Linked DNA regions of Oryctolagus cuniculus. The protein of the gene in region 3 binds, or shares a complex with, the protein of the main gene of each other region. Links are inferred from orthologs where the notes say so. Each region holds a gene or a part of one and is shown on either strand. Other genes may lie near its edges.

The links.
Region 1: SMARCD3 (region 3) and DPF1 share a complex: the UniProt entries of both Homo sapiens proteins name them as parts of the neuron-specific chromatin remodeling complex. The link is inferred for Oryctolagus cuniculus from reciprocal best matches to the Homo sapiens genes SMARCD3 and DPF1.
Region 2: SMARCD3 (region 3) and ACTL6B share a complex: the UniProt entries of both Homo sapiens proteins name them as parts of the BAF complex. The link is inferred for Oryctolagus cuniculus from reciprocal best matches to the Homo sapiens genes SMARCD3 and ACTL6B.

Annotation. Positions count from the first base shown.
Region 1 is NC_091449.1:16,352,043-16,356,272, reverse strand, and holds the start of DPF1 (zinc finger protein neuro-d4), read right to left. Parts: upstream 2,946-4,230; 5' UTR 2,942-2,945; coding exon 2,799-2,941; intron 1-2,798. UniProt on the Homo sapiens protein: May have an important role in developing neurons by participating in regulation of cell survival, possibly as a neurospecific transcription factor. Belongs to the neuron-specific chromatin remodeling complex (nBAF complex).
Region 2 is NC_091450.1:42,839,323-42,843,896, forward strand, and holds the start of ACTL6B (actin-like protein 6B), read right to left. Parts: upstream 2,946-4,574; 5' UTR 2,825-2,945; coding exon 2,800-2,824; intron 2,391-2,799; coding exon 2,314-2,390; intron 2,121-2,313; coding exon 1,955-2,120; intron 1,666-1,954; coding exon 1,565-1,665; intron 1-1,564. UniProt on the Homo sapiens protein: Involved in transcriptional activation and repression of select genes by chromatin remodeling (alteration of DNA-nucleosome topology).
Region 3 is NC_091438.1:22,579,393-22,583,926, reverse strand, and holds the start of SMARCD3 (SWI/SNF-related matrix-associated actin-dependent regulator of chromatin subfamily D member 3), read right to left. Parts: upstream 2,809-4,534; 5' UTR 2,615-2,808; coding exon 2,537-2,614; intron 1-2,536. UniProt on the Homo sapiens protein: Involved in transcriptional activation and repression of select genes by chromatin remodeling (alteration of DNA-nucleosome topology).

The DNA.
Region 1 (4,230 bases), on a different chromosome or scaffold from region 3:
TGGGGGGTGAACCAACGGAAAAAAGGAAGACCTTTCTCTCTGTCTCTCTCTCTCACTAACTCTGCCTGTCCAAAAAAAAAAAAAAAATGAATGAATGAATCATGCCTGCACATAGTGTGCTCCACAAATACCACTGAGCACGAAGCAGGCACAGCTCTGTCCTGAGTTAATCCTATTTCGTACCTGTTTTTCAGATGAGGAGTCAGGTGGTCACAGGGAAGTGACCTTACATGCCCTCAGCCCCTGGGGACTGCTGGGCCAGGCCACTAGGGAAGGATTCATGCACCTGGACTTTGATCCCTCACCTCCTGGGTCACACACACACACACACACATGCACACACACACACACTCAATCGACCCTAAGGAATGCCTAGAAGGTGAGCTGACACACTAAGGCACATTCTCCCGTTTCTCTCTCTCTCTGTCTCTCTCTCCACACACACACACACACACACACGCACACGCAAACGCATCCCCCCTTCAAGAGCACCCTAGTTTGAGAGGCTGAGGGAAATAAACACGCCTGCACACCCCTTGTCCACTAGGGGGCGCTCCAGCGCACAGACGGGGCGGGCCAGTCTTCACCTCCTTTGTCAATTGGTCCCCTCCTCCTTGAGCGAGATCCACTCAAGGCCTCCGAAACTCGTGGTCACCTACACACACACACACTTCTAGTCCCTCCATAAACTCTCCTCCATCTAAGCCAGGTAGGGCCTTGACCCGCCCCTCCACCAGCCGCCGACGGGAGGGGTCGGGTGTCTGACTCACATCTGCTCAGAGGACTAAGTGGGACGCGCTGGCACCCCAAGCTCACTCTGGCCTCCAGGCTCCTTTAGTGGCCACCAGACACCTGACCCACCATGAGCCCTGCCCCCCAGACCCAGGCTCAGCACTCTTGCTCCACACACCTGCAGCCACAGCCTGACCAGCCGCCTGCGGCCCCGACACAGCACACTCAGTTTGACCCAGTGTGGCCTGGGTGTAGAGACCAGGTCACCTCCCAGAGGTCCTGGCCCACCAGCGGGATCTGAGCCCACAGACCCAGGCTGGCCCTTGCCTGACCTCAGTCACCCTCAGACCCCTCCCCTCCCACGAGCTCCCAGCCCTAAGTGGGTGCTGGCCCCAGGAGAAATCGTTACTGACCAGTACTGATGAACCAGTGCTGACTGGACTAATCATCACTGCGTTTAGCCAGGGTCAGGCTCCGCACCGATGGCTTCCCAGTGATCACCGTGTTTAAGCCTCGCTAGGCCTCACTCCCGGGAGTTAAGAACCGCTGTAATCCCCAGTTCACAGATGGTAACACTGAGGCGCGTGGGGGTGGGGGAGAATTAATGGCTTGAGCTGGGTTCTGAACTCCCCAGGGGAAAGGCACTGGCCTGGCCCCTGTGGCTGACCTTGGCCTCCAGGCACCTGCAAGGAGTGGCACCCTATTCCTAGTATTCCTCCGAGGGCCTGAGCCAGGGCCAGAGACAGGGCCCTGAGGGCCTGTGGATCCCATGACTGCGCAGGAGCCCCATCCCTGCCTGCCAGTTTGGGGGTGTCCCTCTTGGGTCTGTCTGTGTGCATGCCTTGGGGCAGGAGAGGAACAAGCGGTTGCCACCCCCACGCACCACCTCGCACTGACTCTGCTCGCACAGCAGGTGCGTGCTGCCAAAGTCCCTGCCCCTGCACAAACCCTGCTCGGCCACCTGGCACCCCCAACCCGGAAACCAGGGGCCAACAACTGGAGGGCCAGTGGTCCAGCCACCATACAGAGTCCTCATTAGGAGGGGTGCACTCGCCCACCCCCAGCTCTCCGCGCTCAAGGTCAAGGCAGCCAGCGCTGGGGCTTGGGGGCAGGGTGGGGGAGGTAGCCCCAGCCCCTTTGTGCGGCGCCGCCAGGCGCTCGCCCTCCGCCTCCTCCACCAGGCCCGGGAGGAGGGGGAGGGGAGAGAGGGCGGGAGCGGCCGCACGCCTGCCACTCAGAGCTGCTGTCACCGCCTGGGAAAGGGGGTGGGGGGCGCCAGGACCCAGGAGTCCGGGATCCCGAGGAGGGAACCAGAGAGAGGTGGAGAGGGCGAGGGACAGCAGGCGCCAGGCTCGGACCCGGGCGTCCTTATCCCAAGCCACGGGGCCGAGAGGAAGCCGGAGGGAGGCGGGCGTGGAGAAGGCAGGGGTTCCCCCGAGACGGAGGCGCAGCCCTCCCGAGGGGAGCCGAGACGCTCGGGCTGGAGGTGCACGGGCCGGGAGAGAAGGGAAGCCGCGGCCCCAGGCGATCGTGGCGTCGGGGCTTCTGGGTGCCGGGGACCCGGGGAGCAAAGGGGACTCGACCGGGGGCCCCCGACATCCGAGCCCCCACCCCGAGGCCAGCAGCGCCGGGGTCGCGGAGAAGGCGGAGGAGGTGTAGAGAAAGATGCTCGGGCGAGGAGCGAGGGGGTGGTGGGAACCCCGGAGACTCAGGTCCGGACTTGGGCGTTCGCGCGTCCAGCCCGCTCCGGGGCGGGCCCGCCGCCCCCAGAGACACCGCGCAGCAGATGGAGGCGGGGAGGGAAGCCCCCACCCCCAGCCCGCGCCACATTCCTTCACTGACAGCGACAAAGAAGAGGCGCCCCCGCGACCCAGGAGGGGCTCCCGTGCCCAGCCCCCGGAGGGGCGGCAAAGGGTGACAGTCCTCAGAGGCACGGGGGCGCGTGGGGGGACCCCCATTCCACTACCATCCGCGCGCTGGGTCCCCCTCCCCAGCCCCAGGGAGGGCGGAGGAAGGGCTGGGGTGCGGGGACTCCGGACCCGGGTCGGGACAGCGGGGACACTCACGACTTGAGCGGGTTCTGAATGGCGGTAGCCATGGCCCGCTCGGCTGGGCCGCCTCCGGCCCGGGGCGCCGCTGCCGCCGCGCGCGGGCCCAGCCCGGCCTGCGCCGCCCGCTCTGCCGCCCAGCGCGCTACGATTTCATTCATTCTTGGGGCTGCGGCGCGAGCGGAGCGGGGCGGGCCGGGGGCGGGGCTCGGCCAATCCCCGCGCCTCCCGGCGCACGACGGGACGTGGAGTCTAGGGGCGCGCGGCGGCGCCCGAGGGCGCCCCTGCCCGGACTACACGTCCCAGGGGGCGTCAGGAGGACCGCGCGCCCATTGGCTGCCGGGGATACAGGGCGGGGCGGGGCTCCTCCCGGAGCATCCTCTCCCCCTCCCCGGGGGGTGCTCTGTTCCCAGCCCGGGCTCTCCATTCCCGGGTGGTTCTGAGTCTCCCTGGGGTCTGTGGATGTCCCCAGGATCTGCGGCGGATTCTTGTCTGAGTCTACTTATCGGGGCGTCTCTTCGGGGTAAGCCAGTCTCTGACAACATGGGGGCTCATCCAACGCCTTTGTTCGTGTATTGACTACATGTGCCAGGCACTGGGAATGCAGCAGCGACCAAAGTCAAGTCGTTACTCTCAGGAAGCTGACGTTCTAGTGGAGAAAGACGATTTTAAAATAATAATAATAAAGGGATCTTTTCAGAAAATGCTGAGTGCTATAACAGAATTAAAATAGATTAGTTTGGGGGCTGGCGCTGTGGTGTAGCAGGTAAAGCCACCGCCTGCAGTGCCGGCATCCCATATGGGCGCCGGTTCAAGTCCCGGCTGCTCCACTCCTGTCCAGCTCTCGGCTACGGCCTGGGATAGCAGTAGAAGATGGCCCAAGTCCTTGGGTCCCAGCACCCACGTGGGAGACCCGGAAGAAGCTCCTGGCTCCTGGCTTCGGATCGGCGCAGCTCCAGCCATTGCAGCCATCTGGGGAGTAAACCAGTGGATGGAAGACCTCTCTCTCTCTGTCTCTGCCTCTCTATAACTCTGCTTTTCAAATAAATAAATAAATCTTCTTTAAAAAAAATAGTTTGGTTTGGAGGAGTGGCTGCACAGAGCGGGTGACTTTTGAGTTGAGCCCTGAAAAGTTGCCAGCCACGCATGACAAGTGGAAGAGCACAGAGGCCCTGAGGTGGGCACAGGTGCTTTGTGCAGAGCTGAGTAGGAAGACGTAGCTGGGGCGGGGGGGGGGAGGACCCACCTCCTGAAGGACCATGTGGGCAGCTGATTCTCTCCTAAGTGCAATCAATCATCCCCTACTCTCCTCTTCTTTCTCACATGCGCACGCACACACACACACCCAAGCCCACCAGCAAATCCTGACCTCTCTACAATTCACAGGGCAGGTCCAGCAACCCCCCATCCCTGTCCAGCATCGTCCCTGCATGGATCATGGTGGCGGCTC
Region 2 (4,574 bases), on a different chromosome or scaffold from region 3:
TTAAATCATGGAATTGCTTTTTTCTCAGAAATATGGAGAGAGAGAGAGACAGACAGAGCTCCCATGCATTGATGTACTCCCCCAAATCCTTCAACAGCCAAGACTGGGCCAGGCTGAAGCCAGAAGCCAGGAACTCAATCCAGGTCTTCCACACGGGGGACAGGGATCCAAATAACTGAGTCATCACTTGCTGCCTCCCAGGGGTGCACACTAACAGGAAGCCGGAATCAGAAGCAGAGCTGCGACTTGTACCCAGGCACTCTGATGTAGGATGCAGGCATCCCAAGTGGCGTCGTAACCACTATGCCAAATGCCTGCCCCTCAATGATTGACTTAAAAAGGTGAATTTTATGTCATGTGAATTTCACCTGAGAAAGAGTAGTGCCTCAGGTTGTGAAAAGAAGAAAAGAGTGGCTGGTGCTGCGGCTCACTAGGCTAATCCTCCGCCTGTGGCGCCGGCACACCTGGTTCTAGTCCCGGTTGGGGTGCCAGTTCTGTCCCGGTTGCTCCTCTTCCAGTCCAGCTCCCTGCTGTGGCCCAGGAGTGCAGTGGAGAATGGCCCAGGTTCTAGGGCCCTGCATCCGCATGGGAGACCAGGAGGAAGCACCTGGTTCCTGGCTTCGGATCAGCGCAGTGTGCCGGCCGCAGCGGCCATTTGTGGGGTGAACCAACAGAAGGAAGACCTTTCTCCTCTCTGTCTCTCTCTCACACTGTCTAACTCTGCCTGTCCAAAAAAAAAAAAAAAAATCTAAAAAAGAAAATAAGAAAAGAGCAACCAGCAACAAACTTTGAAAGTTAAGGATGAGATCGGTGAGTAGTAACTGACTTAACAGATTTACAAATGCTGTAAGGCAGTACTGGGAAAAGCCAGGAACAACCTGTACTGAGCTTGGAACCCTGAGAGAACTAGAAATGGGCGCTGTCAGCTGGCTCTGGACGTGGGGGTGAAAGGAGAGCTAAAATCAGATTGTTTAAAGCCACTCAAGAAACAGAAAAGCGATCATGGATTCCCCAGCTCAGCCCTGATTAGCATACATAGTAACAGGAGGCTAAATAGTGAATACTGATCTTTCAGGAAGTCTAAGCCAGAACTGTACTTAAAGGTGGGGAATGAGAAGTATGTGTGATATAGGCTAGAGGAGGAGAGAGCTCAATGCTCTTTTTTCTAGTAGGAAATTCTTAGATGATGCCTAATATAGAAAACCTGCAAACAGCAATGTAAGTGTGATATTGGGAGATACGGAAAGAAATACAAAAAAAAAAAAAAAAAAGATAACAGGGAGAAAAGCAATGGCATTTGGAAAAGGGGAAATGGAAGAGGCGGCAAGAACTGCAGTGTTTCTTCTTAACATGTTTTACAAAGCAAATCGACCATATGTACTACAACTATTTTCAAGTTAAAGGATTAAAAAAGAACTGGAGAGGAGAGGGGCTTATAGAGCAGGAAGAGAAAGAGGTAGAGCAAGAGGAAGACAGGTGGCCCAAGATGACAAGGCTGGAAGGACTGTCTGAGAAAGGACAGGTAAGGGGTGGGAAGACTGTGCTGGGGCCCCAGGGCACTCACCGGGGCCTCTGACATGAGCACGGGGTGCAGGTTTGGCTCAGACTTGACGTGTTTGCTGTAGGTGTGATCCAGGATGGCTCGGAAGCACTCCCAGTCCTCAACTGGGGCCAGAAAGACACAGGTGAGGCGGGGAGGGGTCAGCGACGGGAAAGGAAGCAGGGAGAGACGCCAAGTCCAGGGGAGGGGGAGTTCAACTCCAGAGGAAAAGCCCCTTCCCCACTCCCGGGAATTTGGGGCTCCTGGGCTGGGAACCAGGCAGCTACAGGGGGCTCTGAGGAGGTCCCTGGGACTTGGACAGTTGTGAGGAGGACTCCGTGGCTGTGAGACAGAGTCCCACGGGCTGGGAGTGGGCTCCTGGTCTGACTCAGGGTCGGGGGGGGGGGCCCTTACTCATGCCGTTCTTGAGGGGCGACATGACCTCCGCTCCATCCCGAGGCACGTGCAGGGCATTGGTGTCAATGTGGAAGATCTTCCCCTTCTTCTCTTTCTCCCCCTCCAGCTCCAGCCCGCCCCCCTCCTCCGCGGCCAGCAGCCCCACCGTGGTGGGGAAGTCAGCCTGGGTGGGAGGGGGCAGCATGGGCAGAGAAAGGAAGATCACCCGGTTACCCGTTCAGCCCCAGGGCAGGGTCCTCAGCCCGCCCCTGGCTCTTCTCCCACACTTGCTCAGCAGAGCGTGTGGGCTCGGCTGGGAGAGCCCTGGGTTAGTGGCGAGCCTGGGGAGGATTTGGGAAGAGATCTGAAAGTCTCACCTTGGGACAGTCCTCCCCAGCATACCCGGCGCGGACCGAGAAGGAGCCAATGTCGAAGACCAGCGCCCCCACCTCATCTGTGCGGGGAGACAAGCAGGTGAGGAGACCTTCCCCAAACTCTGTCCTCGCGGACAGATCCGAGAGGAAGGGGGACAGGGCAGAGCCACAGTCCGAGTGGGGGCCTTGGAGTGGGGGTCAAGCCGCCAGAGTTCCCTCCTACCCGGTGGCCTTGTTCAGGCCACTCTCGGGGCTGGGAAGGACGGAGCCAGGGGTCGGGCGGAGAAGGGCTGGATAGTGGAGAGGCTGGGCCCGGCGCGCCTGGGGCGTCCCGGGAAGACAGAAAGTAGGGGTGGCACGGGACCCAAACCTGGGGTCGGACTCGCTCGAGCGCCGAGGTGACAGGCCCCGGGGTGCCCCGAGCTTGGGTGGCGCGGATACGGGGCGCAGGGCTGCGCGCGAGGCCCCGGAGGCCCGGGACCGGCTCACCTCCGCCGTAGACGCCCCCGCTCATAGTGCCCCTCGGTGCGGCTCGCGGCCCGTGGGCGGCGGCGGGATCAGCACCGCGGCGGCCGGACAGCTCCCGGGATCCCGGGCGGGCGGGGCGCGCGGCGGCCAATCGGGAGGCCGGGTCCCCCGCCCCCAACGGCTCCGGCGATTGGCTGCGAGGCGAGACAATAACCCGGCCGGGGGCCGCCGCTTTAAAGGCGCAGACACCTTCGCGCTCGGCGGCGGGGAGGACCCCAGGAAGACCAGCCCTAAGCAATGGGCGGCAGAGAGGAGAGTAGGAGAACGAGGGAGACCTTGTCCTCCCCGAGACCAGGATCCCACAGGGTGACTGATGGGGACCCTGCTGCCGTAGCTTTTCAAATGGGCTGTGGGGTGTGTTGGGGGGAGTGCCACCATCACAAGGTTTCTGTCACACCTAGGCCTGAAGGACGTCTCCCGGGAGTAGAAGGGAAGACAGAGAGGGCGCGACCCGAGGGGGTGTGTCTCCATCTCTTCCCCGTGTCTTCCCACCCTGGTCTCCCTCATGGCCTCTTTTCCTCTCCTGGGCCTTCCACCTACACACGTGCACACATGCACACACAGGCACTCAGCTGGCCTGTCCTTACCCTTCCCTCTCTGCTCAACCGCCTGTTCTCCCTGGGAGGCAATGATCACGGTGTCCAGTTTCTGGTAGGCCCTGGGTTCTTCTGGGCTCCCAGCACTACCAGCATAGCAGGTTTGGATAGCAGAAGTGAAGCAGCAGCTCTGACTGCCTGAGTCAGACTCTGAGCCTGTGCTGGCCAGTGTGGCCGTGTGTGTGTGTGTGTGCATGTACATATGCACATGTGAACATAATGTGTCGGCTGTGTGCATGTGCATATGCACACGTGAATATAATGTGTTGGGGCACTTCTGCACTCCCACCTGCTTGTTTGGGGTTTGGGAGCTGTGAGAACAGAAATGGCACAGGAAGAGGGTAGTGTGACTGCGGCATGTCCCCGAGGGTTCTCTGCTCACTGGTTGCCCCTTGTGGAAAAGACCCAGCTCTTCCCTCAACCAAAGGATGGGCTGAGCTGGCTCATTCATTACTTCCTGGTGACAGTGGCATTGCGCATACCCGCGGTGGGTTCCGAGTCCAGGTCTGGCTCCCCAGACTGGAGCCCTGCAGGTGTCAGTGGGAGGAGTGAGCTGGAGGGGAGGGAAGGAGCTGACCCAGCAGCTAGGAGATTGACATTTTCTCAAGTGACCACAGGCCAGTCACTGACTTCTCTATAATGTGAGGCCTGCATGAACTGCGTGAGCCCGCTAAGCTCCCATAGCCTGTATCTCTTCATCTTCCAAATGCTGGGGGTGGGGGTTTGAAGGGGTGAAAGAGATTCTGTTCATGCTGATCCTCTGCATGCTGTCTGCTGAACACTGAGAAATGTTGCCTCACTTCCTCCCAAGTCAGTTCCACTCCCCTTCAACCTCCATCTCCACCGGCCGTCTCAGAGTCAGGAACTTTCCCAGTCAGAAGAAACCTTACCAGTCACGAGTCCAAGCCCTGCGTTTTGCAGGGGTTGCCCCACATGGAGGCAGGGTGCTGTCTTGGCCACATAGCCCAGCGGGGGCGGAGCTGGGGGTGGAGCCACATCTCTTCTCAGCCAGTGAGATGTGACCTCTGTGTTCCCTCCAAGCTCTGCTGTCCCTGACCATAGGCTGCTGATATCCAGTCCCATGCCAGAATCAAGGACCTGGATTCTGTAAGCACTGGGCCCTAAGAATGTCCCTAGGTT
Region 3 (4,534 bases):
ATCGGTGCGGCTTCGGCGGAGGGGGCTTGGCGTGTCGCTGCAGGAAGCTAACTGAAGCCAGGCAATTGTCCAGGGCATTGCCGAGCCTGGAGCTGCGGAAGGTACCGCAAAAACGCACAGTAACTGGCAATGGCGCCTTTCCACCTTCCAAAGGAGGTTCACACCCTCACGCGCCTCTGCCAGACTCAGTGAACAGGTCCTCTCATTCCCACTTGACAGACGAGGCAACTGTGGCTCAAGGAGAACGGCGACCTCGCCAAGGTCACGCAGCTCATCTTGGCTAGGACAACACCTGAAGGGCTCCGGGTTCCTGAGGGCCGCAGCGTTTTGCCGTTTGCGGCTTCGTTGAAGTTAGGGGCTGAGCTCCCTGCTCTGACTTTCCTTACGGCTCCCTCCCTCTTGGTCTCCACTCCTCCAGCTGTTCTGCCTTGCACCGGCTCCTCCTCAGCTGCCCCCTCCTCTCTCCACGCCCTGCTTTTGGACCTCTGCATCCCAAACTCCATCCCCTCCAGCTGACTCCACACCCAGAGGCTTCAGCAACTAAGCTGGACCCCAAGATTTGCTCCCCGGGTGAAGGCTGAAGGCAGAGCAAGGGCAAAGGCACCTGAGGGGCTGACGTCACAGCCTGCCAGGATTCTGATTGGGAGGAGGGGGAGCTGGGCTGGAGGTGAGCTACCAGGGGGCCTGGGCCAGGTCAAAGGAAGCAGCGTGTCCACCCGCACCCATCAGCCATCAGCCAAGGCTTCACACCCAGCAGGCTTCCTCCACTGCTCACCCCCACCCCAGTGAAGCCAGGTTTCAAAGAGGGTGGTGGAGAGGGAGATGAGGTGGGTCATGTGCCCCTAGGTGGTTGGATGGGGTGTAAATGAGATGCAAATGAGTGAAGTGCTACTGCCACTTGTCCAGAGTTCAGGAGGGATATGAGGGTTTCAGGGGCTTGTGTAGCAGCAGGGGAGTGGGTGGGATGGGGACTGGGAAAAGCAGGAATCTTGGGGAGCAAGGGGCCCCTGTTGTCATTTATCCACTCCATTATCTCACCCTAGGCCCAAGGAGACGCCCCGATGCTGCCCCTGACTTTGCCCCTAAAGCCCTCCCACTCCCAGCCAGCAGCTGTCTCTGTCCATCTTTCCAGCAGTGAAACCTGCCCGACCATGTGTCTGCCTCCCCCCACCCCACCTGACCCTGTCACTCATGCTTCCAGGGTGGCAACCCAGAATGGAGCTAGCTGGTGACCATTCTCCGCCAGCCTAGATGGGGCACTGGGAGTGGGGATGGTGGGGCGCCGAGCCACCTAAGAACTGAAGCATTAAGTTGGCCATATATATATATATATAGAGAGAGAGAGAGAGAGAGAGAGAGACCCATGTCGAGCCTCTCTCCCTGCTAGCTGGGCCTTTTCAAAGGAACTCCCCGCAGCAGCAAGGCTAGGACCGGTGATGCAGCTGGTGGACATGCAGGCCCTGGAAAGTCGACCCCAGAGATGCCCAGCGCTGGAGGCCAGGCTGACCCAGGAACCCCCTTGGCTTTATCAGCTGGGCTCCCTCTCTGTCAAGGCCAGGGATACTGCCTGCTCTGCTGGGAGGCTTCCAGGGCCCCCAGGGAGCTGTGCCAGCCACCAGCACCACCCCCACAACAGGCCAAGATTCAGGGACTCTGGCCTCCCTCACCAAGAAGGTGCCCTCCTGGGGGGTCACGGCCAAATGTGGCCGCAGTGAACCTGACGTCGTCCCCTCTCGCGTCTCCACACCCAGCGTGGCCCCCGAGCCACCCAGCTCAGGCCTCTTCCGTGCCCTGCCTCGGGTTGCTGAGGCTGCCTGGGGCTTCCCACGTGCCTCTGGGGCTGCCCTGTCCCTGGGATCCCTAGGCCTCACGTCCCCGACTCCGGCCCTTTCTTCACACCTTGGAGATATTAAGGACAGGCGTCTGCCAAGGGGACGCTCGGACTCCTTCCACCTGGAGTCTGTCCCTAGAGGGAGCCTCTCCCTGACCCTGATGGCAGGGGCTACGCCGAAAATGCCCCAGTGCCCTCCTGCCAGGATACAGAGGTTGCTCAGCCAGAGGGCTTTCGCGCCCACAGTGCCTCCAGGGTCACCTGCTCCACGCTCTGGAAACAGAGTGACACCGTCCCAACGGATGTGAACAGACAACCCAACAGGGCTGCGCCGCGTCCCCGTCCCCCGCCCCCACCCCCGGGGAAGGGGTAACACCTGGGCCCGCTGGGGAACCCAGACAACATGTCGGCCACAGAAGGGGACCCCCACCTGGGTGGGGGGAGTCCCCCAGTCCCACGCCCGCCCCTGACAAGAGCCCGCGCAGTCGCCTGCCTTCCCCGCCGCGCGCGCCCATCCCCGGCCCGCCGCCTGACGACGTGTTGGCACGCCAGGGCGCCGGCACGGTCCCGGCGCTGGGCTGTGGCCGCGGCGCCCCCGCCGGAGGGGTGGGCGCGCGGGAGCGCCCTCCCGGCCCCTCCCGGCCATCCCTCCATTCAGCCCGAGCCAGCTCGCTCACCCTCCCCCGCTAACTTTCCCCCACTCACCACCCCATGGACCAGAAACTCAAAAAGTTTGCTTTTCGTGGCTTTGCGCGCCCCTCCGGCAACTTCGTCCGCGGCCATCGGGGTGGGCTCAGCGGCGCCTCTCACTCTCTCTCTCTCTTCCTCTTTCTTTCCCTTTTCTGCCTTTTTTTTCCTCCAACTCTCCCCTCTGAGTCCTGCTGGGCTCTCTCACACTTCTACTCGAGCGGAGTGGGGAGGGGGCCCCTTCAGGGCTGCCCTGACGGCCCACGGCCCACGCCGCCGCCGCCGCCGCCCGCCCGCCGCCGCTGCCGCCGCCGCCGCCGCGGCTGCCGCATTCCTGCACTGATAAGACAGAAATAGTCCGGCGGCCCGGGGTCTGCCTGTTGACTCGGCGGGGACGGGGACGCCGGCCTTTGCAGCCCGCGCTGTCCAAACAGCGCAGATAAGCGGCGAGGTGCGCGGCGAGCCCGGCCCCGCCTGGGCGCAGGGTAGCGGCGCTTGCAGCCCGGAGCCGCCCGAGGGCCGCGCGGGGAGCTGGCGGGGGGCTCGCCGGCCACCCGGGCTCTCGCCACAAATAGCTGCTCGGTTAGGGAATTCGCCGGCAGGGCCAGGCAGGGAACAGTCAGTTCCAACTTTCTTCCCTCCCCGAGAGGCTCCGGCTGCATTTCTGAGGCCCTTTCCCCAGAGACCTGGCAGGCCAAGTAGGGAAACATTCGCGGGCAGGAATCCGGGGGGGAGCCGAGGCCGGCCGCGCCGGGTGTGCCGGGGAGGAGGCGCTCCCTGCGCGCACGGCTGTGTGTGTGTGTGTGTGTGTGTGTGTGTTGTGCCCTTGTCTGGCGGCCGGCGTCCGCACCCTGCGGCCCGGCGCGGCGGCTGCGGGTGTTGACGAGGGCGCACGGACGGACGCCTCGCCCGGGGGCCTCGCTGCGCGGGAGCCGCCAGGCCTGCGCGCGTGCGTGGGGCCGGGACGCGGCCTGCGCCGCGCTCCGCTCCGCGCGAGGCTATTTCTGGGTATGTGGGTCTTTGTTTGCCTCTGTGTGAGAAAGTGAGGGCAGGAGGGCAAGTATTTCGGAAGGAGGGACGGGGACGGGGCTCAGAGAGCGCAGCGAGGGGGAAACGCGGGGCGAGGCGGCGCAGGGCCGGGCTGGGGGCTTCGGTGGGGGCGTCTGGGAAGCAGGAGACAAGCGGGGCTTGAGGGCCTAGGGGTGCGGACCCCGGAGGGGTCGGGCCCGCCTCAGCATCCCAGAGGAAGCCGGGGCGCAGGGTGGGGTGAGAGCGAGCCCCCGAAGGGGCGGTGTGCAGGGAGCTGGCAGTCCCTGGGGTGGAGGAGAGACAGGAAAGAGGAGGGGCGAATCCTGAGATCCCCAGACTGGGCGCCCTGGCCCCGCCCATGCCCCAAGGCCACGCCCCTATCTCCTCCTCCCGGAGGAGGGGCCCGTGGGCTTTGGGACGACAGAGGGTCAAGTTTAAGGGCCTGCTGGGGCTGCGGTGTCAACACAGGTGAGGGCGGGGCAACGGGACACCTACTTGAAGTTGGGCCCTGAAGACCCAGCATTGCCCTGCGGGTCCTGGCCCTCCTGCCTTGGGGAGTTCAGGACAAAGAACGCGGGACAGCTCTGCCCAGACTCTGCCTGCAGCCTGGTTTCCCTTGGGCCCCGACTGCGTGCGGGGCTGTGAGCGCCCATGTAGGTTCCCACTGTCTACTGAAAGGCAGAGAGGGTCTCTGCTTCAGGCTCTACCTCTGGCCTGGTGGGGGGGACCCAGAAATTCCCCCTTCCTACCAGGGCTTCACCCCAGGCCACTGCCCACCACCACCCACACACAGAGAAGCCCCGGCCATGGGGTAGCTTAGTGGTCAGCCACAGGCCATGAAGTGGCTGGTGGTAATGCGTGAAGATTTGCTCCCATCAGCCCGCTAACCTCATCCCCCTCCACTCACCCCCATTTCTAAGCTCCTGTTCCTGCTCTTCTTTCTCCTGGAAGACCCCTCCCTTCTGCCTGTCCACACCCAACCCTTAA